3 linked regions of the Xenopus tropicalis genome follow. The protein of the gene in region 1 interacts with the protein of each later gene in a biochemical or structural test. Links are inferred from orthologs where the notes say so. Each region holds a gene or a part of one and is shown on either strand. Other genes may lie near its edges.

What was found.
Region 2: the proteins of zfp36 (region 1) and ywhab form a complex in vitro, tested with the Homo sapiens proteins (2 studies listed by BioGRID). The link is inferred for Xenopus tropicalis from reciprocal best matches to the Homo sapiens genes ZFP36 and YWHAB.
Region 3: of the proteins of zfp36 (region 1) and mapkapk2, one has a biochemical effect on the other in vitro, tested with the Homo sapiens proteins (2 studies listed by BioGRID). The link is inferred for Xenopus tropicalis from reciprocal best matches to the Homo sapiens genes ZFP36 and MAPKAPK2.

Annotation. Positions count from the first base shown.
Region 1 is NC_030684.2:81,498,865-81,509,385, forward strand, and holds the end of zfp36 (tristetraprolin), read left to right. Parts: coding exon 1-454; 3' UTR 455-2,184; downstream 2,185-10,521. UniProt on the Homo sapiens protein: Zinc-finger RNA-binding protein that destabilizes several cytoplasmic AU-rich element (ARE)-containing mRNA transcripts by promoting their poly(A) tail removal or deadenylation, and hence provide a mechanism for attenuating protein synthesis.
Region 2 is NC_030686.2:12,515,201-12,526,537, forward strand, and holds the end of ywhab (14-3-3 protein beta/alpha), read left to right. Parts: intron 1-4,230; 5' UTR 4,231-4,238; coding exon 4,239-4,532; intron 4,533-5,320; coding exon 5,321-5,444; intron 5,445-6,446; coding exon 6,447-6,610; intron 6,611-6,780; coding exon 6,781-6,876; intron 6,877-8,112; coding exon 8,113-8,169; 3' UTR 8,170-8,873; downstream 8,874-11,337. UniProt on the Homo sapiens protein: Adapter protein implicated in the regulation of a large spectrum of both general and specialized signaling pathways. Binds to a large number of partners, usually by recognition of a phosphoserine or phosphothreonine motif.
Region 3 is NC_030678.2:74,162,841-74,174,177, forward strand, and holds part of mapkapk2 (MAP kinase-activated protein kinase 2), read left to right. Parts: intron 1-6,843; coding exon 6,844-6,983; intron 6,984-10,815; coding exon 10,816-10,880; intron 10,881-11,337. UniProt on the Homo sapiens protein: Stress-activated serine/threonine-protein kinase involved in cytokine production, endocytosis, reorganization of the cytoskeleton, cell migration, cell cycle control, chromatin remodeling, DNA damage response and transcriptional regulation.

The sequences.
Region 1 (10,521 bases):
TTTCATCCACCACCCCAGTGAGCAAGGAACTTCCCAGCACGTGTTGCGGCAAAGCCTCAGCTATTCTGGTGTGCCAAGCAAGAGGGGTTCCCCACCCCCACCTGGATTACCAGACCCTGCTGCCTTCTCCAGAGCACCTTCAGTTTCTCCTCCACCATCCTCTGAGCTGCTCTTTTCTCCAATCCCCACTGAAGCACGAAGCCATGTGTCTTCACTGAGATCAGCCGATTCTTACTCACATTGCTGCTCATGTCGTTGCTCCAGAGCAGGAACAATCACCCAGGATCTCCTGTCTACCCACATGCTCCTGCGCTCACCTTCATGCAGCTCACTGCCAGAGACTGAATGCTACAGCAGTGGGTCAGAATCTCCAGTTTTTGAGCAGTCTTATCATTCACCTCCTCCACCTACTAAGAGGCTACCAATCTTCAACAGGTTGTCGGTGTCAGATTGAAACAGGGAAATACCCTAGCCTAGCAGCAGTTGGGGGGATACAGTTTTCTTGTTAAATCGCACTAACACAATCATGTCCTTAGATAGCAACAAGGTACTCTGAGAGTTATTTCTCCAGCAGACAAGTTGGAGGCTTCAGGGATCTTCCCAGATTACCTTGAGATGTTCTCAGGATAAGAAAAACCAGCCTAGCACCTTCTTGCCAATTCTTCGGCAGAACTGAGTTCTGTCTCTGTAGTCAATGTGTTTTTGCATATGATTGAAGGAAAACTATAGCCAAAACACTAGCTGCTTCTATATGAATAAGTATTTTGCAACATACATTTGTGGAAGTGGCTCTTCACCTCCTACTACAATTTTATTGTAAAACACAGCCAGATATTAGTCTTAGAGATCATAAAGCAAAAGAAAACTGTTCCTGCTCAACATCTTAAAAAGTTCTTAAATAATATTTGCTATATTCTTCAAAGACACCTATATATATATATATATATATATATTTATATATATATATATATATATATATATATATATATATAATCATACTTTTTCACATAGGAGCATCATGTGCCTAAGCTATAGTTTTTCCTTAACTTTTTTTTCCATAATATGCATGAAACCTTTTCAGAGGATACATCCCTGTGTCTCAGAGCTGAAAGATATTTATTATAGTTATTATGAATATTGTTTAAGGGCCTTAGTCTCTCAAATGTGCAAGTGCCCTGAATTATGTAGCAGAACAAGGTACAATGTGCAGGCCTCCAGTTGCACCCTGTGTTTTGGCTGGTTCCAAACATACAGAAGTGTCACTTGGTCTGGACCTGTAGCTGTGCCCTGGAAACTCCACCCAACCCCAGAATTCCTATCCCATTGCAGAGGGAAGTACTATAATGTGTAGCTAGCCTAATTTACCTGAGCTTCTGCCCACAGCTCACAGCTTCATGTGCCTCTCTACATATAATATCCAAGCACTTGCTGTAGATAAACTCTCATCTAAACATAGCATGGACACACACTGATGTGAATAATAGTACAGATGCACTCTGCTCTTTGTGTAATAGAGACATAACCTTCTCTGTGCAAACTAAAGATACGTGGCTCCTTTAACATAGATACTGCTCTACATAAATATAGATATATATCTATATACATAAATATCGATGTACCCTGTCTTTGTATAATGCACATATTGGTCTGTGTAAAAGATATTTCTAGTGTTGTGTGTATAAGAAACTTCAGCACATGCTGCTTTGCTTATAATACAGCACCCAGCCCATCAGACAGACTGTAGACACACACAGATCATATTCAGTGCTTGCTAGTTTTTAAACTCCATTGCATTGGACTATGCTACTGTCTTTGATGATCCATGGTGCAGGGTTAGGCACGCATTGCAGTACTTCCTAGCAGCAAAGGGTCATTCCTAACAATGTGTGTCCTACCTCACAGTTACACTGACAGGTCCTTTCTGGCAATCAAGGAGTTAAAATCAGGCACAAACAAGAAATGTAGGGAGCAGAGAAACTTTATCAGCAAAACCTGATACTAATTCATACCTTGATCTTTAACCTTAAAGTGTGCTTCTTCTAACGTGTATTAATCTATTTATATCATATTTATTTTTAAAAATGAAAAATATATTTATCATTTTTTATTATTTTGTAAATAATATCTATTTGTCAGCATTTGCAATGAGTTTATAATCTGAAATAAAGAGATTTGCATACAAAGGTTATTGTGTTTAGATTAAAATGGGGTCTCTAATGCTCATTTGCTAGCAAGGCCATTTTATTCTAATGCCATAAAGCAGGCTTATGGCACATATGACACTTTCAGATGACCGTAAAATCACCTCAAAGCACCTCCTGACACATCCTACTGAAAACGGAAACAACTGACAGTGAGTTTACTTTAAAGCAGACCTGGCCACCTGAAGGTCTCCAGTATGGAGAATGGCCCTTCAATGTATTTTTACTACCCATTGCCTTCTTGTGGGCTCCAAATACAGGACATCATGCTGTTAATATAATCCAGTCTATATACATAGAGTATATCTGCTTACTGCCTCTCGACTTGGAAAGCGTTGAACAATGTTGCTCTAGTGCAATGCGAAAATGTGCTGCCATAATATTCTTCCAGGGCAGTTCTTTACAACATGTACACCATATTTGCTTTAGGTAAAGCCTATAGCTGAAGGTGAATTTTGGCAATAGTAGTTTTATGCGGATGCAACATTCTTAAAAGTTCTATTACATTTTCCTCTTTGCAAACCATGCAACACACACTATGGAGTTAGTGGGAGAGACTGGGAACCAACAACTCTATGTACTACAGTTCCACCCACTTGCTAGGGTCCTGCAGCAAATACACATACAGTACAAATATATACAAACATATTTTCTGTAAAAATATTGGAAGCATTCTTATTTTATTCCTACACCCCCTGAGATACCTAGTTAAAGGTATCTTTCAAAACACATAAGTTAATTGAGCTTCTCCAGCACAATCCTCCATTGAAATCTGTTTTTCAAAAACGCAAATTTTACAGAGAGTGTCCTGGCCCTTTAGCAGGCCCGGATTTGTGGCAAAGCCACAAAGGCCCTGGCCTAGGGTGGCACAAATTTAGGGACGGAGAAATGGGGACCTCTTCCCACAACTCCGTATGTGAGTTTAAATGACCGCGAATGCGCATGCTCGCGGTGGGGGGCAGGCGGCTACTAATGGGGGTGGCTTTGGGGAGTCCTGATAAGAAATCCAGCACTGCCCTTCAGTAGAATAAATCAAATTAGGGACTTTTTGGGTTTACAGTCTAAAATTTAGTCAGACCTTTCTTTTAGTTTATGTCTCAGATATATGAAAACAAGGCTGCAACTGTTCCTCTGTTTACAGGGAAATCTAATTAACCTAACCGGTCTTCAAGTTGGCTGGGCCCGCTGCTCCAGTGTTTTTTGGGCAACAATAAAGTCATTGACCTAGGTGCGTACGTGATATTGTCACAGATGGAGCTGTATGCCAAACTCTGCCTCTGAGCTCTGCATGTGGAGCCTCCTTACCTCTGGATCAGTTTTAAGCTATCTAATTATTAGGCCATGGCACACACAGCATTTTTATGACCACATATATTCTGTGTGCGCAGTGAAAGGAATGAATGTCAGTGCGCACACAGGGCAGATGGGAACAGGATCAGCCCAGATGTAGAAGACGCCATATATGCCATAGGCCTAGCATTTAACTTACCCCACCATTAGTTTGCTGCCAATCTTTTTAAAAAAGATTCATTAGCGGATGTAGTCCAACACCATCTACAGGGTTTAGGCAACCTTACTCAATTAATTTGATATAAACAATAATATATAGATAGATAGATAGATAGATAGATAGATAGATAGATAGATAGATAGAGGCATGCTTAGGATCTTTTGATTAACAAATATAAAACAGCCTGGAATGGATTATCTCTCTTCCATGATGAGAAAGCTGTGGCCCTGCAGGCAGGCTGGGCGGGAAGCTAGAAGGTACCTTTATGTGTGTCAGCAGTGAGTCAGAGTGAGTCTGACAAAGCAGAAAAACAACCTTATGGCATCACGTGCACCTCTCTCATCTGCTCGACTGGCTTTACAAAAATAAAGTTATTACTCACCGTGACAACGATGTACGTGGCCCCTGTCAGAAAGGGGAATCCTTTATAACACCCCAAGTAAGAAAAGAATGACACATTTGCACACACACAGGAATAAAGCACTATATGCCGCAATACAAGGAAATATTTCTGTTAATAATGTGAGTAAATATTATTGCAAACTGGAAAATGAAATGAATCAGACTATTTGATTCTTCTGTTTCTAATAATATAATATAATTTAAAATGAAGCCAACAAATATTTTCCAAACTTTGTGACTTCTGTTCTTGTAATAAAATAATATCCACAACAGATGACCTAAGGGTGGTGAGAAAATAAGCTTGTGGCCAGCATTAATCAGTGACCAGAATTATACCAGTGCCATTTCTGCCATTTAAGTTAAGAAACTTGCCTTGCCTTGGGAACTCTTTATCAACCGTTGGTAACTTTTAAACCTAAACCAAATATTTGGCTTTTTTAAGGTATAAAGAACTACTGTGAATTTTGCCCCCCATGTGGGCTGATTGGTGCACTGGAAGTGAGCGTGGGGGAAAAGGATTGGATTTGCTGCCTGAGGTGTCACTTGACCTAGATGTACCCCTGGCCAGTGTTAAGGTGGCCATACACGCACCGATATTATCGTACGAAACCTCGTTTCGTACGATAATCGGTGCGTGTATGGCATGTCGGCGAGTCGACCGATATCGCAGGAAGCTGCTGATATCGGACGACTCGCCGATCGGACCAGTTTGAAAATTTTGATCGGGCGCCATAGAAGGCGCCTGACCAAAATTCTCCCTTCAGAGCTGAATCGGCAGAAGGAGGTAGAAATCCTATTGTTTCTACCTCCTTACCTGCCGATTCAGCCCTGAATGGTGTGTGGCGGATCTTACGATGTTTCGTGCGACCGATGGTCGTACGAAACATCGTCAGATCGCCACGTGTATGGCCACCTTTAACCTGTTTTTGTGGATCGCATATAATAGTAATAGCTGTTCTGAAAGGTGATTTACATACGTTTGTAACTGTGGTTCTGTATGTTATACAGCATGTAAATATTGATAAACCATTGCACTAAACAGAACACACAATAATTTATTCGGTTTGGGACAAAAGACTTAAGTACAACAAATCCACCATTGATTCTATTTTTATAAGGTAAGGCAAGCACTTAATGTCCCCTTAAAAGTAGTAAGCTTGATTTTAAGGGCCAGTGTTCGGAATAAATCCACAGATGCCAACTTGGTCTGTGTGTATACAGCTCCACAGGAAGCACGCCATATTGAATACTGATGGAACACATAGGCTAGGCATTGTATACTTAAAACATGCACTTGAGAATTCAGGCTACAATCACTTGAAATGCACCAATGTTGGCACATACTGTAAGGTAAGTGATCTAGAAAATCTGGCCACCACTGACAAACATGGCTGGCAAAACCCCTAAAAACTGTACCCTGGGAGACAACCTTAAGGTAGGAAGGTAGGATAAAAACACAATTCTATACAATGTAACATAATGTGGCATGGTAGGGAGTTAGTCATATACAATAAATATATGAAATGCCCATAATTTTATGTCCATCATTCAATGAGAAATGAAATACAACATTAAATTAGTTAAAGACTTAATTATACAAGCCAGTAGCTAGAGCCTATCAAATAAAAAAGGTTGGAGTGTGCCCCTTGTTCAACACCCTGAATAATCAGTGGCAGAATTTTGCACTGATTCATAGCTGGTCATTGTAGTGAATGGTTTGAACTCCCTGACTTATGCCACTTTAAATGTTAAGGTGCCCATACACCTTCAGATCCGCTCACTTGGCAATCGAATTATAACGACGGGTATAGGCAAAGTCGATCCGACTAGATTTTTTTAACCTGCCCGATCAATATCTGGCCGATTTCAGGCCAGATATCAGTCGGGCAGGCCCGTCGGTAGTGCCCATACACGGGCTGATTTGCTGCCGAATCGGTCTAAGGGACCGATATCGGCAGCTAGAATTGGCCTGTATATGGGGACCTTTACTGCCCACTGTAGAGATGGGATGGGGGTCAGGAGGAAAGAGAGCATAGGTGCCTGAGAGTACAAGCTGTGTCAAGTAACACCAGTGTACAGTACTTCTTATTTTTGCTTACTAGAATGAGGGTGACAAAAAATGACAAGAACCAAAAAATCTATCTAAAGAAACAGGCATGGCAAAACTGGCATTTATATGTTATGTATATGTTCTGTTATTATTTAATTAAAGCAGGGTTTATGACTTTAAATACTGTGCAGATGTGTGGATGGCTCAGTGGTGTGACTGGTGTTTGCACACTATGCAGCAGTGTGGAAGTATATGGCATAGTTCATAGATAAGATACAGAGAAGCACAGCAAAGTGCAGGGGCAAGCAGTGACAGGTACGTACTGTAAATGTCTGTCTCTCCATTTAGTACATAGAATCTGGCTTTTATTTGGCTCCATAGCCCAGAATTGCCTGGCATACTTTCAGCAGGGATTTGTAGTTTATCCGTTTGAAGATAGCTTTTTAATTTTATTAATGCAATGTTTTGTTTGCTTCTTTTAAGGAGAAAACTATGGAAGTGGGATTTATAAAGAACATTTATGAGTAAGGTTTCCTTACCCAGCTTTGGAGAGAGTGGGTTGGAATTTGAAGTGTTTTGTATGTGACACGCATGCTCCTACATGTCTGAGTACACAGCCTGAGGCTAGTGGGCAGGAAATGATCATTTAAATGAATTCTTCTCATAGTTCTCTGTTCCTCCCTTAGTTCATTACAAGATTTGTTCTGAAGTAGAAAGAATAGCCTTATTAACATGTATAAAGCAAAAATGTATTTCAGTACAAAAGTTTATTCTATTGGTTTGACATTATTCCCTCTCAAGCTACACTAAGCCTGATTTCAGCAATTACTAATAATTATCCTCATAACCAGAAAATACCACAGCAGAAATATGAATATGATTTATTACAGTGCTAGAGATGAAGAGCAGGGTTGCTGTTGTCTGGCACTATCTTGATGAACTTTCATGCAGATCTGGATTTTCCATAGAGCTTCAGGTGAGGTGTGTACTTGTTCACCCTCTCTTTAACTGATTATATTTAGAAAGCATATATTAAATGTTTCCAATATTTCCCAATAGCTTTTCTAACTGCAACAGCATCTTTTTCAGTTAACATTAGGGCTAATTTTATTTAGCTTTGTGTATATTATCCCACATTGCTATACTGTGCTCTTTGCAGACCAGAGTAATGTTGCTGGTGATACAAGGGGAAATTGCAGGCTAACACCACATTATGCCTTATCACCATTTCACTATATTTCTCCCCATAGAATTATGTATGACTTGTTCGTTTGTGCAGTCATTTGTGATTCTTGGATTGGAAATTCCCATTCTCCTCTATGAACCCCTATGTGGTCTGGTACAGGAACCCTGCTCGTTACTGGTTTCCAGCACTTACTGGGTTTTTTTGGCCCTGTCAAAAGAGATCAGTTCCTTTCTATCTTCCTCATTGCAAAATGATCTTGTATTAACTTAAATATTCTTATGCCACATAATTTCACATGACTTTATGTTGTATTTATCAGGAGTAAACAAGCCCCATTTAAACATCAGTTTGTATATTGCACCCATATACTGAAATGGTTCATTATCTGGGTCCCAGCTGGCAGCCCACTATATTCCTCTCCTCTCAGCAGATGCTGGCTTTGCTTTCTCTCTTGTTACCATTCTGTGCTTAAGAAGGCTTAGTTTACATTTTACCTAAGCTTATTGTGTACACAGAAAATTGCTTCTTTGTATTGAGAGTAGGAGTTTTCATGATTTACTTAAGGCATTCCCAGCAGACAACAGGACAATGTAATTTATTATGACCACAAAATATTCTGTTTGGATGAGATCTAAAGAAATGGTTCTGCTGAGGAAGACAGTATGGTAGCTTAAATACAGGAACACACAAAATAGTCTGCATATAGATAATACACCCCTAAAACTAAGGGGCAGATTTATCAAAATGTGAGTTTAGAGCTTAATACATAAAAACTCACTCACATTCTATTCATTCCTATGGGATTTAATAATGCCAACATATTCCACAGCACTATACTATAAATGGGTGTATACACTGAGCATACAAGTATGCATAAAAAAAAAAAAACAATAAGTGATACAATGTGGTTTTAGCAGTGGAATTTATTATTTTAGTGCTGCCACTTTCTGAGGTATATTAACATTAAGCCCCATGTAGCCAGCTGAGTCATTTTCTATTTTCCAGTTGGCTGCTACTTACTTTAAATTTGCTGTTACTTTGAACCAATTAAACTTATTGATTTTAGGGTTTATGTTAGCAAATTGTTTACTTTTAACAGAACAAGATTCAGCAATGTACACATTATTGCCTGAGGGACCCCAAATCAGCAAAAATTATGTGCGGATGTGGACGTCTATGTCTGTTGAGATCCATAAAAAAAAAGTTTTTTTTAAAAATCACTTGAAACTTCACTGTTTATTCATTCCTTTAAGATCCATAGTTTCAAGTGTCCTAATCCATTTTGTTTCTTTTAACAGAAACATTTGTTGCCATTCCCCATATATTTGGCTTTAATACTGTTTCTAACAGATTGCAATTGAATTGAGATACATTGTGCTTAGCTAGTGAAAACCACAGATGTGTCAGTGCTTTTATTTGGAATAAAATTCCTTCTTTAACTGGTCTAGTTGTTTGCACTACATGCAGCAGTCCACAAAGGAATTCCAAGCAGTATGCCACATGCAGTCAAGTCTCACTTCAGTTCCCTTACTAAGGTATGCAATGTTGAGGCTAGCTATAATTGCACTGCAACATCTGTAATTTAGAGAAACATAATGATCTGTCTTTTTAGGGCACCCAAATTTTTCTGTAGGCCTGTTGTATAAGTGTCTGCAAAATGCATTTTATCCTTTACCATGAGACCCCTTGGGTTGGTACACTTTGATAAATCTGCCCTTATTAGAGAGGCCTTGTTCAATCAGTATTTGTCAGCAGATGTGATGCATCGAGTACCAAGGGGTGGTAATAGTCAGAATAGGTTTATATAGACTTCTGTGATGCTGCATAGTGATTTCCTTGTTACACATTTCTGCACACCTGTTATATGATATACAACAGCTATTTTGGTGCACTTTTTAAATGCTTTTTAATACTGTATGCAGTACATACTACTATCAGGGTGGACTGGGAAAAATCTTGTGGGCCATGCCAACCCAGGCCTGCTCCCCACTAGGAACTTTGGGCACTCCCCCCCCCCCCCCCAGTTGTGAGCACATGTAAAAGGAATGCAACACAGCATGTGCTCGGGGGTGGTATAGGCTGGCGGCAGGTGAGGAGTTTGTGACTGGGGTCAGGTGGCAGTACCAGTGGGCCCCAGACACACCAATCTGACACTGCTTCTTATGCTACATATCAGCAAGCATCTTGCAAGTATCAATAGAGAAAGGGAAGGTCAATGGTTTTATGATGCTAGCTTTAATATAATCTCAAGTTCCTGCTAAAGTTTTAAGGTGTTGAGGGCACAGAGCATTTTCCACAGAGAAAATGACAGCAATAAAAACTTTGTGTCCAGAGTACAAACAACAGATTCAAGTTGAAAAGGTATACTAATGCACACAAACACACACTATAACTTATGATTTTTCATGAGAATTGTGCTTAGCACTAACTTATGATATCTCTTTGTACAGTCTTTATCTGACTCTGTTAAGGCTTTAACAAAAGCCAGGTTGTTGTTCTGGGCACAGAAAGCACCATTTACAACCCTGCCTGTCTAGCCATGTCCGAATGATGTCATAAAATGCCCCCTCCTCGCTTCTTAGAATGTTGTTATAAGCACAATAATGATGCTGATAAGGGGGTTGAAACCAGCATGCAGTCAGGCAGTGGCTGTTTAAACAAAGCATGGTAGTTCAGTTGGTTAGCACTGCTGCCTTGTACTGCTGGGTCCTCAGTTAGATGTCATCTATGGAACTATTATTAAGCAGTTTGTATGTTCTTCCCCCCATGTCTGCATGGGTTTTCTCCAAGTACTCCAGTTTTCTTCCACACTCCAAAACATGCAGGCAAGTTAATTAAAGGAGAATGAAAGGTAAAACTCAGTAAGCTTTAACAGAAAGGTCTATGTAAAAACAGCCATAAGCATTCACAGAAATGCTGCACTGAGTCCTCTATCAAAAGAAACAGGATTTGTTAACACCCCCTTAGGAATTTGTGATCTGAGCCAATCAGCAGGAAGCTTTCTCATAGTCTTACTAACTGAGCATGTACACTGGTCTTGGTCTTGGTGCAGGAACAAGTCATTATCGGAATTTTCTTTACAGAGTTCAGCGTTTTTTTTTTTTCCTATGAGGCTTCTGATCATCTGAACGGGAGAAATATGTGGAGACTTAAGGGCACTATTGAGAGAACT
Region 2 (11,337 bases), on another chromosome or scaffold:
TACACAGTACTATTTAATACAGAAGAAAGGGATCTCGGTAAAATACATTTGAATTATTTACTTATAATGTGCTCTATGGGAGATGCTCTTCCTGTAATTCGTAGGTTTTTGGATAACGGGTTTTGGGTTAAAGGGATCCTATACCTGTTCCAATTTATCCATCTAGAGATATGAGTATATGCCCATATAGTGAGATGATATACAGCCATATAGGAAAAGGTCTGCCAATCTATACACACATTTCCTGATCTCCCATGTAGCCCCTAAGCCGCGCTTAATCAATACATTTCTTGGCTCCTTATTCAGCTGATGGTCAGTATTGATCCCTGACAAGCTGCCTTTAATCCTGCTATGACTCCCATCCATATTTCATGTGTACAGCTCTTAAAAAATCAGAAGTCTATCTCAAAAGTCTATCAAACAAAGGCATGCTTGGCTATATGAATAATTAATAATGGCACGTTTAGAGTGAGAATATAAACGTTCTGCCCAGTGTGCCTTGCCATGATTAAGCAGTTTGGTTCTGGAGTGCTGCATTGCATTCTATGTACCAGCAGAGTTTATGCCAACAAAACATTTTTTTTTTTAAATTCTTCTAACGTTTTAATTGCTTTTTTCTTTTACTCAGGATTAGCACTGTGGTTGCATATTTGCTCTGCATACCCTTCTCATTAGAAAATGTGCTTAGCTTGTTTGTACGGATCCTTTGTGCCGGGTTGTCTATAGCCTCCTTGCACCAAGAAGCTCGGCTGTTAATTGCATACATGACATTGTAGAAAATCCTTTCACAGCCAATATTGCTAATTACCTTTGATCCGAGCCTCCAGTTCCGAGGCAGGCCAGTGGGTGGCAGTGTGCTGCATGTGTGTGACACAAGAATGCCTCTGCTTATCTGATTTTCTACAAAGTTGTCAGTGTAGGGGCCTTTTTCTCATGAACACACCATAACTAATATGCATTCAGTATAGCCATGGCCCTTTAAAGTTGATTTTCATATACCCTTCATTTAGAACCTTTTGAACTAAAATACAGCATTTGTTAAAATACTTGACCTTTTCTTTTTCAAATAGTTTATTAAACATAATTTTAATTTGGCAAGATTTCCAAACAAGCTAATCTTTACCTGATTCGGGGAGCAATGGAAGACCCATCAGGACGCCCCACTTCCCAATCACTTTTATGGCAGTTACTGCAAACTCACAATATTTGCCGGTTTGGCCTGCGGGCAGATTAGTTGGATAAACACATTTTCACATGCCCTTTAGTCCTGCAAGTTCTTAAATGTGGGACTGGACCACTAGTGGGGATCCAAAGAAGTGGATGCAGGGGGCATCCAGTATCTGGAAACCCATTATCCAGAAAGCTCTGAAGTACAGGAATGCCATCTCCCATAGACTCTGTGTTAACCAAATAATTTACATTTTTAAAAATGATTTCCTTTTTTTGTGTAATAATAAAATAAAGTACAGGTATAGGATCCTTTATCTGGAAACCCATTATCAGTAAGTTCCCAATTACGGAAAGGCCATCTCCCATAGACTCCATTATAAGCAAATAATTCTAATTTTTATAAATGATTTCCCTTTTCTCTGTAATAATAAAACAGTACCTGTACTTGATCCCAACTAAGATATAATTACCCCTTATTGGGGCAGAACAGCCCTATTGGGTTTATTTAATGGTTAAATGATTCCCTTTTCTCTGTAATAATAAAACAGTACCTGTACTTGATCCCAACTAAGATATAATTACCCCTTATTGGGGTAGACCTGCCCTATTGGGTTTAATTAATGGTTAAATGATTCCCTTTTCTCTGTAAGGGTTGGCACACGCGGCGGCGCGATTTCCCGAAATCGCCGAAAAAGACTCGTAAGGCTTTTTCGGCGATTTGCGCGAAATCGTTCCACCGCGTGTGCCATCCCGCCGGCGACTTACATTTTTGCCGGTGGGAAGGCAACTCGGGGAGATTAGTCGCCCGCGACCAGGGAGTTTTGTCGCGGGCGACTAATCTCCCCTTGTGCCAGAGCCCTAATAATAAAACAGTACCTGTACTTGATCCCAACTAAGAAATAATTACCCCTTATTGGGGCAGAACAGTCCTATTGGGTTTATTTAATGGTTAAATGATTCCCTTTTCTCTGTAATAATAAAACAGTACCTGTACTTGATCCCAACTAAGATATAATTACCCCTTATTGGGGGCAGAACAGTCCTATTGGGTTTATTTAATGGTTAAATGATTCCCTTTTCTCTGTAATAATAAAACAGTACCTGTACTTGATCCCAACTAAGATATAATTACCCCTTATTGGGGCAGAACAGTCCTATTGGGTTTATTTAATGGTTAAATGATTCCCTTTTCTCTGTAATAATAAAACAGTACCTGTATTTGATCCCAACTAAGATATAATTACCCCTTATTGGAGGCAGAACAATCCTATTGAGTTTATTTCATGTTTAAATGATTTTCTAGTAGACTTAAGGTATGGAGGTTCAAATTGTGTAAAGACCCCTTATTCAGAAAACCTCAGGTCACGAACATTCTGGATAACAGGTCCCATACCTGAAATACCACTGAAGCCCAAGGAAGCTGCTTTTTTTCTAACCTCTTCTTATGAATTCATGATACAAGCCTAAGTGATGTTCTAAGGCAGGGATTTGCTGCTGGAAACCCACAGACCAAATACAGCTTACATTTTATGACCCCAGCCTAATTTTGATACAATCTAGCCTGCAAATGTATTGTCCATCAAATAACCTGCTCCATGGAGAAAGTTAGGCATCACTAATCAAGCATTTATTAAGATGTAAGGGCTATGGCTCATGGGGCAGTGGAGGTTAAAATACCCCTCTCCGCCTAGAAACTGCTTCCCATAGAGAGCTATAAGAAACACACTAGTTAAAGCCCATTTAATGATGGGAAGGCAGAAACAGGTCTTTGGATTGCCACTGTTTTCTAAATGCTGGCAGCAGCAGTCAAAATGTCACCTATGCCACAAGCCCTGCCCCATGGATGTATTGGCAGACCCAGAATGGCAAGTGGCTGGCCATTAGCCAAGCAAACAAATTGAATTTAATATGAATGCTTGACCAATACCCACTGGCCTCAATCAGCATGTTGTGTCTGCCCTAGGTCTTTCTTTAATTCTCAAAGAGCATTGGAGTGTATTTCTTAGACATTACTTGACTTTGTCCACCAAAAAATGTTGGAGCATCAACTTATGATTGGTCAAAATGCATGCTTTTGGAATAAACATGGATTTTCTCTCACTTCCAAAGCAAAGCATGATTTGTTCTTCTTTATTCCCTCTAATTGGGTCATGAAAGGGGGTGCATGACCAGTTCCTCCATATGCATAGTACAGGTATGGGATCCCTTATCCGGAAACCCATTATCCAGAAAGCTCCGAATTACGGAACGGCCATCTCCCATAGACTCCATTATAAGCAAATAATTCTAATTTTTAAAAATAATTCCCTTTTTCTCTTTAATAATAAAACAGTACCTGTACTTGATCCCAACTAAGATATAATTACCCCTTATTGGGGGCAGAACAGCCCTATTGGGTTTATTTAATGGTTATATGATTCCCTTTTCTCTGTAATAATAAAACGGTACCTGTACTTGATCCCAACTAAGATATAAATAATCCTTATTGGATGCAAAACAATCCTATTGGGTTTAATTAATGTTTTATTGATTTTTTAGTAGACTTAAGGTATGGAGATCCAGATTACGGAAAGACCCCTTTTCCGGAATACCCTTGGTGTCGAGCATTCTGGATAACAGGTCCTATACCTGTACCCACACGCATAAAGGTCTCATAATCACTACAAACCCCTCTCTGACTGGGTCTGACCAATTTCTGGTGAAGGAAAAATGTGTATCCAGTTTTTTTAGGAAAACCCCCACAGTTAAATTTAATCTAGTTAGTTTCCTGGAAATAGAGAAGTGATTCCTTTGTGTTTCCATAGGGATACAGTTCAGACTAACTGAAAGCGACTACGCTGCGTTATACTAAAGATGATTACCTAGTGTGATTGAAGCTGCTTGCTGCAGAATTAAATGGCTGTTGCGGTGTTCTGAATAATCAAATCCTAGGTCTAGAGTAGGCCTGCATTGCACTGCATTTGTTATTGATTATATTATGTTTCTCTCAAAGGGATTTTCTGTAAGCTTCAAGTCTAGTTGGATGTTGAGTAACAATTTTTATTTGTACCTTCTCAATAGATCTCACCATGGACAAGAGCGAACTGGTACAGAAGGCTAAACTGTCTGAGCAGGCCGAGCGTTATGACGACATGGCAGCTTCCATGAAGGCTGTGACCGAGCTGGGTGCCGAGTTGTCCAACGAGGAAAGAAACCTGCTATCTGTCGCCTACAAAAACGTTGTTGGCGCCCGACGCTCCTCCTGGCGTGTGATCTCTAGCATTGAGCAGAAGACAGAAGGAAATGATAAGCGGCAGCAGATGGCACGAGAGTACCGTGAGAAAGTGGAGACAGAGTTGCAAGATATCTGCAAGGATGTTCTGGTAATAAATTCTAATAGGCTTTTTTCTTTGCAGGGTATAAGGCAAAGCAGCTAAAGCTTCTTATAGGGCTGCTAAAGCATATATGTTACTTGCATATTGTTCTCCTATAGTCCTGGGTGCAAAGGTTTAATGAGCAACTATAGGTTTTGGTTGCCCTTGGTCAGATGTACCACGGTGCTATTGTACTGACGGCTTCTGTAGATACTTCTATGTATACTTTTTATTGTGAATTATAAGAACAATTGATGAGCTTAATGAATAAAATACGTGTGTCCCTTCTGGTTTATTTGCATGACATAGATCTGATTGTCTTGAGTCCTATCCAGAAACAGAAATTCGCCATTCCCCATACACTCCCCATATTACCTTGTGATGCCCCATGTAAACATGAAAACAGTTACAATTTCATTGGTATATAGCCTACAAATGCTACCCCATATTGCACATACAATACAAATAGCAAACTATAAAAGCCTCTTTAGCAAAAGGTGAAAATCCCCTTTCGCACTGAATGTACTGATTGTCTGCAGTAATCTTCTTGTCCCCCTGCAGGCTTACTGGCATTTATAGGGTTATGTACTATAGACAGCCTGCCTAGCTGAGAAAATGTTCAGGTACCTCCAGTTGCCATGGGTGCAACCAAACCTTATAAAACATGCAAAATATACATGGGTGTTAAAATACAGTTACATTTTATATTTAGATTTTATTCTATTTTCTTAAAAGCAGAAATATACACATATGTACATACATGCTTACAATGGGCTCTTCCGTATGTGTTCTTGTAGGGTCTTCTGGATAAGTACCTTGTACCGAATGCAACCCCACCAGAAAGCAAGGTCTTCTACTTAAAAATGAAAGGGGATTATTACCGATACCTTTCAGAAGTAGCTTCTGGAGACAGTAAGCAAGGTCTGTATAACCAATGAGAAGAATATCTGCAATTTCATTAATGCTGTTTATTTTTATTTGTCTTTTAATTTAGGCCATTTTGTCATTAAAGTAACAGTAACACCAAAAAATGAAAGAGCTTTAAAGTATATAATGCACTGTTGCCCTGCACTGGTAAACTTGTTACTTTTATACACTTTCATTTTTTGGTGTTACTGTTCCTTTAATACTATTGACTGGTTGCTAAGGTAAGTGGGAACCTTGCAACCAGTTAACTGCTGAAATAAAAAATTGCGAAGTTTCAGAACAAAAAACTTAATTCATAAGCTACAATTAATTACAACTAATTTTAATCACTGTGTCGCTCCATCACTGTCTACATCATGCTAAAATTAAGTAAACTATGAGCCTTGGGTCATTTCGTTTTTCAACTGGTATGTTTTAGCTAGCCCAAGAATACTAGTGGGTTTTTTTTTATCACCAGTTCCTATTGATTTAAATGGAATAAAGGCAGAAGTGCTGGCATGAATGCTGCTCAGTTCAAAACAAGCTAAGATCTTTGCTTCCATGCATATCCCGTTCGAGTCATTGCAAACCAAATAAATCACTGGTGCTTTTAAACGGCAGCATGTACTTGGTGAAAAGTGCAAAATGTGTCTTTCTTGGCTTGAAAAAGAGAAATTTAGGTGAGTTTAGCTCAGGCAAGAAGCAGATAACTAAACTATATAAACATAAAAGTGATGAATAATGATAAATTGAAATTGGGCAGCAGTTTGTGGCCATCTTGAAATAAAAATCAATCATCAAAATCAAATAGGGATGATTTTGTGGGTATTGAAGTCTTTGGCCTCTATTGCCTTGATAATACAACAAAGTTTAAACCTCAGGATATTGGGTAATTATTTGTCTGCAATTAGAAATATGATTTTGTCGTGTCAGAATTGCTTTAGGGATCAAATTGCTACAATATATTAAAATGTACAGTATTAATGAGCTGACCATTTTATATTTGTTTCCCATTAGAAACTGTAACCTGCTCTCAACAAGCCTACCAGGAAGCATTTGAAATTAGTAAAAGTGAGATGCAACCAACACATCCTATTCGACTCGGACTGGCTCTAAACTTCTCTGTCTTCTACTATGAAATTCTGAACTCTCCTGAGAAAGCATGCAGTCTAGCAAAATCGGTAAGTTTTTTTTTTTTTTTAAATTCTGTATTTTTGTATGTTGTCTATTTTGTGTGGGACTTTGAGTGCGATTGCAGTCTAATTGATTTAAGTTGGCCGTAGAATCGGCAGTAAAGAAAGTGTCTTTGCCATCTGTGTACAAGTTGAAAGATGGGTTTGTTTCATTGCAGGCATTTGATGAGGCAATAGCTGAACTGGACACGCTGAATGAGGAGTCCTACAAAGACAGCACTCTTATCATGCAGCTACTAAGGGACAATCTTACAGTAAGTTTTCTTTTTAACTAATGTCATCTTCACCTTCATCTTTTTAAAAAAGCAAGTATACTGCATCAGACTGCCCTGTGTCTGAAAGCAGTGTCTTGAACTGCATCACTGCTTCAGAGGGCAACTACATACCATGTAATACTTTCCTCATTGACTATATACACGCTAATGTGATCATTCTGTGCTGCTGTATAGACCAAATGTAAATATCTGGTTAAGTGCAAACTTAGTTGACCAGTTCAGATTAATTGAGTTAGTTGGCAAAATAAGATATGTACAAGAATCCTTTCTTGATAAGACTGTAGTTCCTTCACAGGTTATAGCAAACCAAAATCCTAAGGCCTTTCCTTTCAGTTGTCTGGGGTATTTTGGGAAATTTGGTCATGTACTAAAATGTCTAAATATCACTGCATTGGGGCAATTGGCTGTAGGTCCTCTTTCATCAGTCCCATTCACTCACTGGAAAATGACACTGGTAGATTTCATAAGTTTGGACAGACAGACTGGAAACCAATAGGAAGACAGGATGACCTGTCAAAACTCTTCTGGTGGACAAACCATGCAGCCACCAACAGCAGGTTAACCATGTTAGGCCAACTGAGCCACTTGTGATATGCACAGAAGGTATGGCACCTCACTTCAGCCAAGTCAGCAGCCTATTGGCCTGTATGTATATTATTTGTCTATTGCTGTAGATCAGAGATAATCAACTATTTTTTTTTTTTTTTTTTTAATACTAAGCTACTGAGCCACACTCAGATATAAAAAGTGTTGGTTGGCCACACAAACATGAAAATGTTCTTTGGGGATGCTATATAAGGGCTATGGCTATTTGGGAGCTTCATGTGGGCTGCTGGCTTGCAGGAGGTTCTGCTTGGAGTATTTTTGTCTCTGAGCTTCGAAAACTTGCCTCCAAGCCAGAGATGTAAAAATGGCACCTACTTTGAGGCCACTGGGAGCAACATCAAAGGGGGTGGTGAGCAACGTGTTGCTCCCGAGCCACCGGTTGGGGATCACTGCTGTAGTTTGTCTTTAGCTAGTACATTCCTACTCTTTGTGTGTCCTACACTCTAACGCTGGTTTTTACTTCTGACCAGCAGGAGGCAGGCTGCCAGAAAAGATAATACAGGAACCACACACTGTACATACAGAGCTCACTTGCAGTATTTTTATTTTTGTTCTCAGACTTTTCATATGATTTGCTCTTACACTCATGCTTTTCCTGTTTCTTTGCAGCTATGGACCTCAGAAAACCAAGGCGAAGAGGCTGATAATGCAGAGGCGGACAACTAACAACGGCCACCCATATTTTTTCCTTTTTTTCTGTTCAGTCACTCTGTTTTGTATACACATATATCCCTTTTTGTGCAACAAGTTAAAAGAATAGTACATCGACTTAAACAACCTCAGTAGCAGAACAATATGTGGATTAGGAAACAAGACTGGCGTCTTTACTCAGTGTAGGAGTAATACATTCTCAGTCTAAAAATATGGCATTCTATTTCTTTTTATATAAATATAAATGATTTAAATATGTAATTGTGTCCCTTTTTTTTTTTCTCCCCTCCCTCCCCCCCCCCTTTTTTTTTTAACTGAACACTGTGATTTACGGTTACGGAGTTTTGTTATAATTTCCAATTGGCAATCACTATAACCACATTAGAACCTTTCATTGCCTCGGCAGTAACAACAAAGTCGACGTACAATTCTGTTTTAACTGTTTGACAGAGCGTTTGTGACCATACTGTGACCCTCGGGATGGAATGGGTTCGTACCATAGTGTATTGCAGTTGTTTCAGTGATAGATATGTTTTGATCGACATGGTACATATTGAACCTAGTTTGTAAGCCTGAATATAATCAAGTCGTTTTGGGTTTTTTTATTTTATATATATATAAATATATTATATATATATATTTAGTCACAATTTTTGAAAATCGATGTAATGCTCACTTAGCCACTGTAACTCAGAAAAAAAAAGGTGGAAAAAAAAAAAGAAAAAATTTTTTATTACGCACATCAGGGGCTCAAACAGATTACATACAATATACAGTGTACAATATTATATTGGTAATTATCATTGCTGGTATGTATACAGATGACATTACTGGTTTCTTTGCAAAATATATAAAGATTTGTATGGTCTTCCCATAATATCATTTGTCGTGTAATATCTTAGAAATTAGCCTCCTCTTTATTTTCTACTTTATCTTCCTTTTCTTTTCTTTTCTTTTTTTTTTTTTTTTTGGGCACAGTATTTTAACAGTTTACATTTTTAAGTGATCACACATTGTTCTGCTTGCCTTTACTTACCCTTATTTTTTAACTTAACCATTGCATCACCTAGTTCAGCTGTCCCTTGCCGCACCCAAGATCCTTCCAAATTTTAAAATACTTTTTTTTTTTTAATTTTTAGTTAAGGATTAATATTGGTGATATCAGTAAATCGGTTTACCTTTCCCCTTTCCTCCGGTGACTTTAAGGACATGTATTCCAGTGAAGTACTGTATTTGATTTGTAATCACTGTCCCAGTATCACAGTATCATTCCTCTCAATACATTCCACTTGGCTGTAAAATTTTTCTAGGTGTCTGTCCATCTGTCCGCTTGGAAGCAAAAATTTTCATGCACTGATTTTCAATTCTCTTTAGCCGAACAAAAAAAATAAAATAAACAAAAAAAAACTCCCCCCAAAAAATGTGCATTTAATACTAGCGCTTGATAAATGCAGTAGTGAATGTGGAACTGAGCCTGTCTGTATATCTGGTAGCTCTTTTCGCTTTGTTTTTACTGACCAGTATTCTGCCTAAAGTTTGCTTCTGTGTTGGTTTTATTACCTAGCACACACGTGGTTGTGAAATTTAGTCTAGCAACAAAGAAACAAAATAAATTTTTAAAAACGCAAAAAAAAAAAAACCCCCTGGTTATTGATGTACTCCAATTTGTGTAATGTATTTTGAACAGCTCTAGTTTCACTCTACACGGAATAATCAGGAACATGTAAGAATTCAAGAGCGAAATAAATAAACAATGTTATCATTTGGTCTGGCTTTTTATTCGCCCAAACCACTTTCTCACAAATACTTATGTTTCCAGTGCCGGTTTCGGTCAGTGCTTGGGTCTCTGGCATGGAAGCAATTGTTTAGATGGGGCCGCCATGTTTGCCCTAAGGGTGCAGGCGTACATGGTATACAGTCTGGATCTCCGCCTGAGTGCAGTTACAAGGAGCAGAGATGATTGGTCCAAAAATGCAAGCTTTTCAGGCTGTTTTTCAAGGTGTTTTTTCGGGTTGATCTCCACTCCTTGTAGCTGCACTCGGGCCTGTCAGTGGAGCTACATATAGGATCGTATTCCTCTTCCAAAGTAGACCATACGCCACATGTAACTGTGCCCTAATGAGGTAACTGATGAAAATAATGGGAAGTTCCCTGTCATGGCCAGGGAAAATTGTGCAACAGCTATTGTTTTCTAAAGGAAGCATCTTGGAGACATGAGAACCTAGAAGGATAAATAAAGATATACATACATACAAGGTCATCTCTCCATAGGCTAAGGAATAGGGGGTATTTTGCCCACACCTGCCTTCAGGTGGCAAACATTTGTGGACGAAACTGTCTTATCTGCCTGTCAAATACTATTAGATTATAGCACCGACAATCTGCAGTAGTAGGCTAACTTGCCCTTAAACCACTCTGCTGTCACAGAGTTCCACCTGCCATTTTGCCATGTGTGTTAAACGTTTTGCTTTCAGTGCTCCAGTATTTGAAGTGACTGCATGTAGTGGGGGTGGTAGCATTTTGCCCACCACTGGATAACGATGCACATGTGTCAGGGGCCCAACGTCTACTTGCTGGGATATAAACATAGCCAGGGTGGTTCCTGGGCAAATCCCATTAACAGACCTATTTTACTCTTAATTGGTGCCCATCAGTGTAGTGCTTGGCAGATGGTACCCTACTGATAATTCTGATACAGAATGCACTGTAATGCCATGTAATGGGAATCCTTATTACTGAAATCTATATTATGTATATACAGTATATTTTGTGTTTGCCCCCTATGCCCAGGTAATTGAAAGCAGCCCAGAGCAGCTTTCAATGGATCAGCATTGAATATGAGGGGAGCTACTAAGGGCATTTATGGAGGCAAAGATTTCATTGTGGTGGCCTTATGTTGGTACAAAAGCCTGCAAAACAACATTTCTTGCCTAACCCTACTGAGCTTTTGTTTTATTTGTTATTTTTTTTGTTTTTTTTTTTGAAACATGACCCCCAAAACAAAATATTTTAGCCACTGTCTTCAATCCCCAAAACTGGTAAAAGTTAGAATGCACCGAATCCAGGATCTGGCCAAACCCCAGCTCTTTTTGCAGGATTCTAATGATTTCAAATCCTGACTTTAAAGCTCTGCACATCTGACTACTTATACAATTTTTAATTTCTCTCAAATTTGAATATGGA
Region 3 (11,337 bases), on another chromosome or scaffold:
GGGCACAACATGATTTTGGTCTAGTTTGTCCTAGTTTGTCAGTCAGAACCTACAGTGGTCCTTGTATTGTTGGATTTAGTGTCTCTATTTCATCTGTGCACTGATTACTGCTATGTTACAACAGAAACATGCTGGGGGCATCCTAGGTAAGTTTAACACTGCCTTGGGCTGCACAGTGCAAATGTCCTTACTGGCTTTTAATATAAGTAGAGCAGTGACTTTTTTTGGATGTGACAGATCTTCTTATAAACAAATTGAGAGATAATTTGGGTCATCATTTTACCATGTTGTCCAGGAAGTAGGAAACAAACTATTGCACTAGGGGGAGTATTGGGCAAGCATCCATCTCTGTCACACACTTTTTTTTGTTCTGTGCTGGTTACATTAACAATTTTTATGCAAACTGATGTTCCAGACAGCAGGCAAGACAAATTAACTGTTCATGTTTTTAGGTGTTTTTTGAATATCTGTGAACTCTGACAAATCTGTTGCAAAAAATCAGGTGCAAAGAGCAGCATTAGGGGCGCACCCCTGCTCAGTTATTACCCCTGCCTTAGAGCACTTTGAACACTGGGTGTGGTGTCACAGTTGAGCCTTCATTTGCTTAAAGGACATGTAAACCCCACACACACTAATGTATTCAGTCAACAGCCTCTTTAAAATCTTTCAATACCTGCCACACTGGTTGTCCAGAGGTTAACAGTAATTCTGCAGCATCCCCTTAATTTCTTAGATTTCCTTCTCCTCCTGTAACCCACTCGCCCCCCCCCCCCTTGAGAATTTGCTTTGATTTCTAGGCTTCCCAGACATGCTCAGATTACTAAACACACCTCCCAGTCTAGCAGGCAGTAAAGAGACAGTTCTGCCCGTGTGAGCCTGTATTCTTGATCTTTGAGTCTTTGTGTGTATGCTGTTTGCAGATTTAAATGTATCTGATTATGTATCAGAGGAAAAATGGCCACCGGGTGAAAGCTACTTTTTGCTTTAGGAAAATGTGATGGTGCTAGCAGACGGAGGGGATATATGCAGTACAAATAATGCCATTTGGGTGGGCGAGACATGCCCAACTGATATACATTGTACGCAAATGTAGGCTTTACATATCCTTTAAAGGAGAAGGAAAGTTAAAAATCACTGGGGGTGCCAAATGTTGAGCATCCCCCAGTGATGGTAATTGCTTTTACCCAGCGCTGGTGCTCCTGTTGTGAGAAAACCGCACCATCCCACGGTAGCTTTGAGCCATAAAAGAACATGCAGAATGCCAATAGTTGTCGTGTAGTGTTATTCGCTAAGTGTAAAGTGGAGGTTGAGGTGTTGATGCCTCATACCTTTCAGTTTAGGGAGGTAATTGATCAACCATACTGCAAAACGTGAGTCTGGCACATAAATGATCTCATGCAGAATAAAGTGAAATATATTAGTTGATAAAGCTCACTAGGGTAGCTTTACCTGTTTTGTGCCAGTAGGCATTTAATCATAGGCTTAATCAACAAAGAATAAGCACACAATTTAAAAGAAACATTAACTAATCACATTGCAGATTACACATGGCCCATAGCAGAGGGAGTGTATATGCATGGAGGTTGGGGAATTCATTCTCTGTGGTATACTAAAAATAAGATTTCAACTTCCATGCTAAGGACTCTGGCACACGGGGAGATTAGTGACATTAGTGATTTGTCGTGGGCGACTAATCTCCCCGAGCTACCATCCCACCGGCGAACATGTAAGTCGCCAGTGGGATGGTACACGCTGCACAGGCGATTTTGGCAAATCGCCGAAGTTGCCTCGCGAGGCATTTTCGGCGATTTGCCAAAATCGCATGCGCAGCGTGTGCCATCCCACCGGCGACTTACATGTTCGCCGGTGGGATGGCAACTGATGGCTCTCTGATGGCAACTGATGGCTCTATGATGGCAACTCGGGGAGATTAGTCGCCCGCGAACAGGGAGGTTTGTCGCGGGCGACTAATCTCCCCGTGTGCCAGAGCCCTCTAACTCTTCTTAAAAAAACAAAAATCATGTTTAATAAAAGTTATCAGTGGTTTGATATAATGGCATATGCCATCATGTCATAATGATTTATGCTAAAAACTAAAATCATCTAAAGATATAGGTATGATATCCAGAAAGCACCATCTTACAGGAAGGCTATTTAGTCTATTTTTTGCAAATATTAAATGTATTTCATTTTTTTGTATATATTATAAAACAGTACATTGTACAAAACCTTAAAGGGGACATATTGTGTGAAAAACAATATTGTGCCAATGAATTGTACTCCTCTAAAAATAAAAGGAATGTGCTGTAGTAGTGTTTTGAGCTGATGTATTAAAAAATTCTCCAAAAAACCCCACTAGTCAGCAGAAATATACAGAATAATTGAGGAAGAGTGCCCAGTATCACAGTTAGAGACATATTGCTGTAGAACTGATGCCAGTCAGGGAAAGCCCAGGTGGCTGCTAAAAAGGCTGTCTCTACATGTCACATGGTTAGATAAGTTCATTATGGGATAAGAAGTCTTACAGGGGAGTGGTGTTGAGTGGAAGGGACCTAGAAAAAACCTCTTGATACATAGTTAGAGTTACATTGATAGTGACACTAAGCCTGACTTAAGGCAGCTCTGCAGGGAGCTGCCTTACACACATAAAATCAGCCTTACACACATTTGTTAAAATCGTACAAAATTGCCTTAAGACCAGTACTAGAAGAAATTTTCACTTTTGTGTTTAAGACATTATTTTAGAACAGAAAATAACCTTGTAGCAGAAGCTGCCTAACTGATATATAGTAATACTTAATCCTGAAGTCAAGGTTTAGCTTTTGTTGATGTGACAGTTTCTGTAACTTCAATATCTGATTCTGGTAGAAATGTTCCTGACTGGGAATCTAAAAATAACTGAAGGACATAGGCTCAAGGCTCACGCTGCCCTCTTTAACCTTTTTAAAGTCTGGGCCTTCAAGGGAAAACTGTAGACAAACTGGATGTCGCAGTAGATGGATTATTAGGCCATTAGACTCTCATAAGGCATGGGGGAGGGATGCATACTACACTCAGGACTTTTGGGGGGTTTTCATTTCTAAGTTCTAATATGACTTTAGCAGACTGGGTCAAATGATTAATCGGATATATGTCAACAAAGTTTGAATCTGTCTTTGGTTGCAGACTGGGTGGGTTTGTGCTTGGGTATTGGGATAAGTAGGAATTTTTTTTATAGAAATAAATATTGGGGCAAAGCTGACAAACTTCACCTTTTCTGGCTGGGTCCTTGCTGTGTCAAAACAGGATGTCTTTCCCCAATTGTATACTTAAAATAATTTAAAAAAAAATAAATATTTTCACTATATCGTTAAAACTGCTTTGGTGTGAGGTGTGCCTAAGCTGTAGGTGTACAGTAAAGTTAAATAATAAAGTTCCTTTCCCAGGTCAACTCTTGTTCTTGTGTCTTCTCTCTGAGTTTGTGTGTTACACCTCCCATGTAGTTTTTAACCCATTTTATTCTATTTTTATTTTTTTATATTTTTACATTGTAGTAATGTAATTCTAAAGGTTGAGGTTATAGCTTTTCGGTGAAGTTACAATAACATTCTGAGTTTCTTTAGAATCTATGGTTGTAATCCAGCTTCTGGGAGAATCGGGCCTAACAAAGAAGCTTCCCATAGTTAATTCGGCACTTGGTAGCATTTTCCATACTGATCAGGTTTCCAAGAATTATGTGGATATATTTGTAGTGTCGTTAACCAGGCTCTAATTATCTGTCCCTTTATGTATTTCCATTATGGGATTTTTAGAGATTTCCATTTGGTAGCTATAGCTATTCTTGCTGCAGCTAGAATCTGATTGATCAGTTTCTGTGTTGGTCTCTGTGTTGGTCTTCTAAAGGAAGAGTAACACCAAAAAATGAGAGAGCTTTAAAGTAATAAAAATATAATGCACTGTTGCCCTGCACTGGTAAAACTGGTGTATTTGCTACAGTAACACTACTATAATTTATATAATAAGCTGCTGTGTAGCCATGGGGGCAGCCATTCAAGCTGGAAAAAAGGAGAAAAGGCACAGGTTACATAGCAAATAACAGTTCTGTAGAATACAATAGTGTTTTATCTGTTATCTGATATGTGCCTGTGCCTTTTCTCCTTTGAATGGCTGCCTCCATGGCTACATAGCAGCTTATTTATATAAATTATAGTAGACTTTCTGAAGTAAACACATAACTTTTACCAGTGCAGGGCAGCAGCACATTATATTTTAGTTACTTTTATACACTTTCATTTTTTGGTGTTACTGTTCCTTTAAGAAGTGGTTTACCAAGGAAAAGTATTAGACATCCTTCTGTACTGAGTATAGTATATGTATATTTAAGTAGAAATGGCATCCTAAAAAGTTTGAATAAGGGGCAGGTCCAGAAAATATCAAACGTCATCCCTTTCTGGGCACCCTGTCATGCATACTGAGGAAAAGCATATGCAGCCTCTTGGTGTATAGTACCAATGCATGAAAATCTTGTATATGTTTTTCTTTTGTTTCTTGCAGACTACAGTATTCTCTTTGCATTTTCCCAGTTGCTAGTCCACAGTGTTTGGGTTTTAAATCATGTATTTTGATGGTAGTGCTCGAGCGTTAGCAGACAGTAGCCTGATGTTAAACCTGACATCCCAGACAGGCTTCATTTCATTAGAGTCAGCCAATATAATGAATGTTAATCTAATCTCCATAGCTATACCATACTAAAGAGCTGATGTTTTTTGATAGCTATTGATTGTGTGACATAGAATCTTATTCTGAGTTTGCTACAATATTGTTGACATTTATAGCTGATTTGATATCTATCAGGAGCTGTAAGAACTTATTTGAAAATTTTATTAACTTTTTTTTTTTAGTTGTATGCATTTTTTTATTTGTAGAATTTTTAGTTTGTTATATTTTATTAGTGATGCTGGCTTTACCTGATTTTAATTAAGTTTTATTAAATTAAAGGTAACACTCTAATAATATCTATGCCTCCACCATTGCTAATCCTAGTGAGATCTCTGTTGAAGGAGTGTGAAAATTAAAGCCCTCACCCCCATTCAGTAAACAAGGTCTAGACCAATTTTATTCTATTCTATTTTATTCTATTCTAACATGTAATCTAGTGACTTCTATATTGTAGCCTGCTACTTATCCCTTTTGAAAGTTATACTGTCCTTGTGCCATGCATAAAAAGCTTCTTAAACTGAATGACATGGGAACACAGTCTTGATGTAATTTGTAGCATGTCAAAAGTTACCATACATTAAAGATACCTTGTTAAAAATATTTTCAAGTATACAGAGTGTGTATTCCCCAGTCTTGAGCACCGTTTAATAAGATAATATTTAGTGCTTGTTTAATATGCATTCTTGATTTATAAACACATGCTCTGCTTAGAGAGCTTGTCATTTTGTAAAATTTAAAAGGGCACAGTATCTGTAAAGCAAGAATATTCTACATGCCACCCTCACTAGTTGACTAACATTTATATAGCAAGAATATGTAAACTATAGCAGAAAACTGTCAAGAGATGCAGGCGGATGTAGTTTATCAACTACTGAGGCTCAGTGGCTCATAGTAATAATTTTATGTGTAGGAATGACACAGAGGGTTATATAATAAAAGGCACTAAGTTTGCCCAGGAGCAGTAACCCATAGCAACCAATCAGCAGGTAGAATTTATTGGTCAGCTGTTTAAAAGCAAACATATTATTGGTTGCTATGGGTTACTGCTACTGGCCAAACTTAGTGCCTTTTATTACATATGGGGCAAGCTGGTAAAGATTGATTTGATTCATTTGTCTGGTGGAGAGGGCGCCCAAAGTCCTGGACTGCAAATATAGTATTAATGTAGAGTTCTGGCAGCAGTATGAGTTTATGTACAGGTGCTGCTTAGTTTTCGTTTGCTCGAGTCCTACGTTCCCCCTTAGACGTGTGTGTTACATCAGCACAGGAGGGCTGCATTCCTTCCGCATCAGCTCATGAAGCTGCAGAGATGTTTGAGCTGCCTCAGTGATTTCACACTGCCAGGATCTCCTTGTTTGAACAAAGCTGCTGCATTAAGTCATATAGAGAGTTGTGTGTGCAAATCACTTGTCCTAAATGGACACTTTTTACAAGATAATGCATTAAGATACTTTATAAACAGAGTGAAGTGTTTCTGTTAAAATATATCTTGCTGCTTCAATTTTTTTTGTAGCTACATAGAAACCAGAGTCTCCGTAAATATTTCTTTAGTACAGACAGTAATGGTTTCTTACCTTGTCCCCACCAGGGCTGCAGGGCAAATCTGTCTGTCTCTATCTATCTACTTATATTTACTCACACGCATATACATTTATATTTTTTTTGTGGTGAAAATGGATGGCAGCAGGTGGAGAGTCTTTTCCTTTAATGCTGGTATGTCAGACATGTGACCTGATTCCCCTTCATTTGTTGCTATCCAGCATTTTGGATTGACTACAGTCTGAGGCAGGGTATTTTCCTACCACTATCTGTGTCCCCTGTTAAAGAAGCAGGCACTGATCAAGTTATTTTGACAGAGTTCAGCAGCTGCAAATTTTGGTCCCATAGTGCTTATTGGTTGTAAAGAAAACAGCCCCTTTTTCAAGCTGCCTGCTGGAACTGAGTTTGCCCATGAACCATGAAAAAAACATGAACATTAAACACAAGATTTGCTTTTGTATTAAGTCAGAACTTCATCCTCTCATGCATATGCCTTATACTGTATGCCTTATATGCACTTTCGAGTAATATGTACAGGTATTCACTATTTATTAATTTGGCTTATATATGTTCATGCTCCTTTCTGTTTTCTCTCAATGTGTGCAGATGTTACAGGACTGTGCAAAGGCACGCAGGGAGGTAGAACTGCACTGGCGGGCTTCCCAGTGTTCTCATATCGTGAAGATTATTGATGTGTACGAAAATCTATACCAGTCTAGAAAGTGTCTTCTTATTATTATGGAATGGTAAGTTGTTTTTTTTTTTTTTTTTTACAGGAATTTGCCTGTAAGCAAAATGATCTGCATGCAACAACCTTAATCAGTGCAATAAATGATATGCATTTTAAATGTTACAAAGCAACATATAGGTTCTTTAGCAAGAAAGAGTGCTTTGTGAGGTGCTGCAGGTTAGTACTGGGGTTCGATTAATCCCAAATGCATTCTGTATACAAATATAATCTCAATATACAGAATGATGATCTCTCGGGGAACATATGTAATTGTTAACATATACACCACAATATACATTGGTGAAAAATAAAGACATATATTTCTAGTGAAGAATGAGAACAAAATCAAGCTTATTCAGAAGGGTATAATGATATTAAAAACTCAATTTAAACAAGCATTTTTTCTCTCAACTATTTAATACACATGTAACGACTAGTAATGTGTAATGTTACTTACAGAATGAATTATGTAAAAAACATGGGCAAACTATTTAACGGTGTAAATTACTAGCGTATGCTGAGCTACACAATTTATATCTAGCTCTAATTAGCTATATTTTAATGACAAAATATATGGTTGTTAAAGAAAGAAAGATTCTCTAGCACAGAATTAATTCTGTCAACAAAATGAACACATATTTTTACTGTTTCATTTCCACTATCAATTCTGTGAAACAATTCGGTCAGTCAAATTACTTAGCCAATAAGGAGCAAACACGCTCATTAAAAAATAAAAAGCTATCTTTAGTTACAGTCCATTTACTATTTTCTTTTGAATTGTTTCTTAATTGGAAGATTGGATGAAAAATCTTAATGCTGCACTGACAAAATTATTCAGTTGTACAAAAAAGTTTTGTTGATGTGAATTAATGTTAAATGGGGACCTGTCACTCAGACCTAAAAAGCTGCATTATAGAGGTCCTTTTTAAACTGAACATAAAACCCAATTTTTTTTTTTTTAATTAAAACATCAATACCTGTTTTAAGGGTACAGGTATGGAATTTATTATCCAGAATGCTCGGGACCTGGGGTTTTCTCATAATTTGGATCTTTTCATAATTTGGATCTCCACACCTTATGTCTACTAAAAAAATATATATATATTTTTTTAAAAATCTTTATTTTTGCATTTTAACAATAGGGGGGACAGGTACAGAAAGAAGAGGGGGGAGGGAAAAAATATGTAACATTAATAAAACCCAGTGGGATTGTTTTGCCTCCAATAAGGATTAATTATATCTTCAGAATTAAGTGAAAGTGCGGTTTTATTATTACAGAGAAAAAGGAAATCATTTAAAAAATGTTTTTTTAATTATTTGCTTATAATGGAGTCTGTGGGTGATGGCCTTCCTGTAATTTGGAGCTTTTTGGATATTGTGTTTCCGAATGATGGATCCCATACCTGTATTTAAAAATTCTTATCAGTCAATCTTACTGCCTGCTCCACCTGTATGCCTAAAGCTGGCCATACACGCACCGATACTATCGTACGAAACGTTGTTTCGTACGATATTCGGTGCGTGTATGGCATGTCGGCGAGTCGACCGATATCGCAGGAAGCTGCTGATATGAGACGACTCGCTGATCGGCCAGGTTAGAAAATTTTGATCGGGCGCCATAGAAGGCGCCTGACCAAAATCTGCCGTCAGGACTGAATCGGCAGAAGGAGGTAGAAATCCTATTGTTTCAGCCCTGACTGTGTGTGGCGGATCTGACGCGAAACATTGTTAGATCGCCACGTGTATGGCCAGCTTAAGGCATAGAGGCGTTGCAGGCAATTGCTTTCACCTTACATTCTGCACTTTCTAGATGTGATTACTCTCCTCTCCTCTCAACGTCTAAATTGTATAGTCTGTGCATGAGCATCAGGTTCCCAATTCTGGCACATAAATAAGGTTTTGGAATGATGCAAAGCTTGCCATAATAACAGTATCCACAAAATAGAGCCTACTTGTTGTGATAGTGAATTCTACTAAGGAAAAAAAGATTTAAATAGTTTTATATAGTGTAAGTAAAGTTTATTTTGCTTGACAAACACACAATAGAATAATTTGGAACTATTTCTTAGGGTGACTGGTCCCTTTAAAAGTAAAGCATGCAAACTATATACTGTATACTATATACTTGAGGTGATCTAGCTATTCCCATTATCTGTAAGGGAAATGACAGGCATAGTGAGTTCATCAATACAATAGGCTTAATATCGCCTCATTAACATCTGACATACTCTCAAGCAAGATTTTTTTAGTATTCTATTAAAATCACAATCTCTGCAGGCCTAGGCCAGTTCGTTTGCATAGTACAGTAAAAAGCTGGCTTTATGCTTCTAAAGTTTATCTCTTTACTGTACTGTGCATGTACCCTGGGCTGTTGCAGTTTTTAAGCCAACAGGAGCACCGGCCAGGGATCTTAGGTAAGCAATCCTGAGGGATGACTAAAATGTTGGCCCTCCCAGTTCTTATAGCTTAACTTCTCCTTTCAAAACATAATTACTCATGGGTGAGGGGCTGCAACTTCATATTGCTGTGTAAAGAGGTTAATCAGCCGGTATACTTAAAAGAAGTAGCATATGTTATATGGGTAGGTACTGTACCCACGTGTATTTATAAATATCTTACATATACTATGTTACATTGCTACTATATGGAGGGACCTCTCACCCGTGGGTAGTTAAGCTTCTAATATTAGGCTGATTTTAATATGATACAATCAATAACTTCTGTTTTGTTGACTTGAGAGTTTGTCAGATAAAATTAAGAGGATATTGGGCCTATTGTAATAATGGTTTAGGTTAGAAGATAATGGGAACAACAACAAGTTAGCATATTAATGGTTTTCAGTTAAGAATCTGTTGTATTTAACAGCAGCCCTTTCAGAAAATGTTTGTTCGTATTTATTGTTATGCAGCACAGAGGCCACCCTGTATAGGCCAGATAGTATCATATCTTCTCCATAGCCACATGGAGGAGAGCTGGCAGCTTTTCATCTTGTTAAATATGTCCTACAGTCTAATCATTTTCATGTGTATGTTTGTCAAGACTTTACAGAACCTGTAAAAAAAAAAATCAGTAAATGGACCCCCATTACAACCTGCTTGCTATTGAGTAATAAGTATGCTTTTTTCTGTCAGTCAGTAATTTGACTGACAGAAGACACAGAACTGATATTGACATAGTTTTGTGGAACTGTATGTTTATTTTGTTGAATGAAGTCTGTAGCAATTATCGTTTTTTTTCATTAACATTGCATTTTAATATTACTTATTTTGTTACATGGATGGATTTCTCACATTTCTGAGACAGAATGGAATATTTAATATAATATTCTTGTGTGTGCAAACTTAATTTTGTTCTCATACTTTTGCAAGAAATATGTCTTTTGTATATATATTGTTTTGCCTGTGCTTATGGCCACAATTACACATGTACCCTGAGAGAGCTTAATTCTGTGTACTGGGAATATGTTGGTATACAGATTTTTGTAGACAAAATGTATTTGGGACAAACGACACCCCCATAGGTTGGGGAGGTTGCACAAAGGAATGGGGCTACAAACTGTGCAGGCAGTCATTGGGGAGATGTTATGAGGCAAGAATATGGAAAGTTAAAAGCAGTTTCACTTCTTGTTTTTAATGTCTGTTTTAAATAAAAATGTCCACCCATGTTTCTTGATGTATATAGGAGTTTTTCCAGTAATGATTCATTGTGCATTAGCCTAGAGCTTTGAGCAGTGGAAATCTAATTTGTCTATTATGGGGCCTGCTAAAGGCTACTTTATTTAATTCATCCTTTATTATCAGAAAATCAGTATTATAATCTCTGACAAATATCTGCCTTACTTGTTTTAGTCTGGATGGAGGAGAACTCTTCAGCAGAATCCAGGATAGAGGGGACCAAGCTTTCACGGAGAGGGGTAGGTGGACTTTGATAGAAAGTGTGTGTTATTGCTTTCATCTCTCATTCAGTTGTAGTGCTCTCTGCAATTGCCTTTACATTCACAGTAAATTGCTACATTTTAAAGGGACAGAAATACCCTTTGTTTAAAATGAGTTCAACTAATAGGGTTTGCAGTAAACATAGATTTTGCCTGTTTTAATCACCAAAAGGCTGTGGGCTCGGACACAGCGTCTTACTGTCATTGCTCTCACAGAGTAGGATTTGGCCTAAAGATCCCTCATTTTAAAAAGGCCTTTTTTATTTATTCTTATGAAGACTTGTATAGCACATTTAACTTTCTCTGCACAGTAGATTGTAAAGTTAAGTGGACATTTATTAACAAATTTGAAGCAGTTAAGCAAAGGTTCATTTGCACAATAACACTGGATTGAGGGATGTGCAAGCTTTTTTTTAACCTATGTAAAGGTTATATA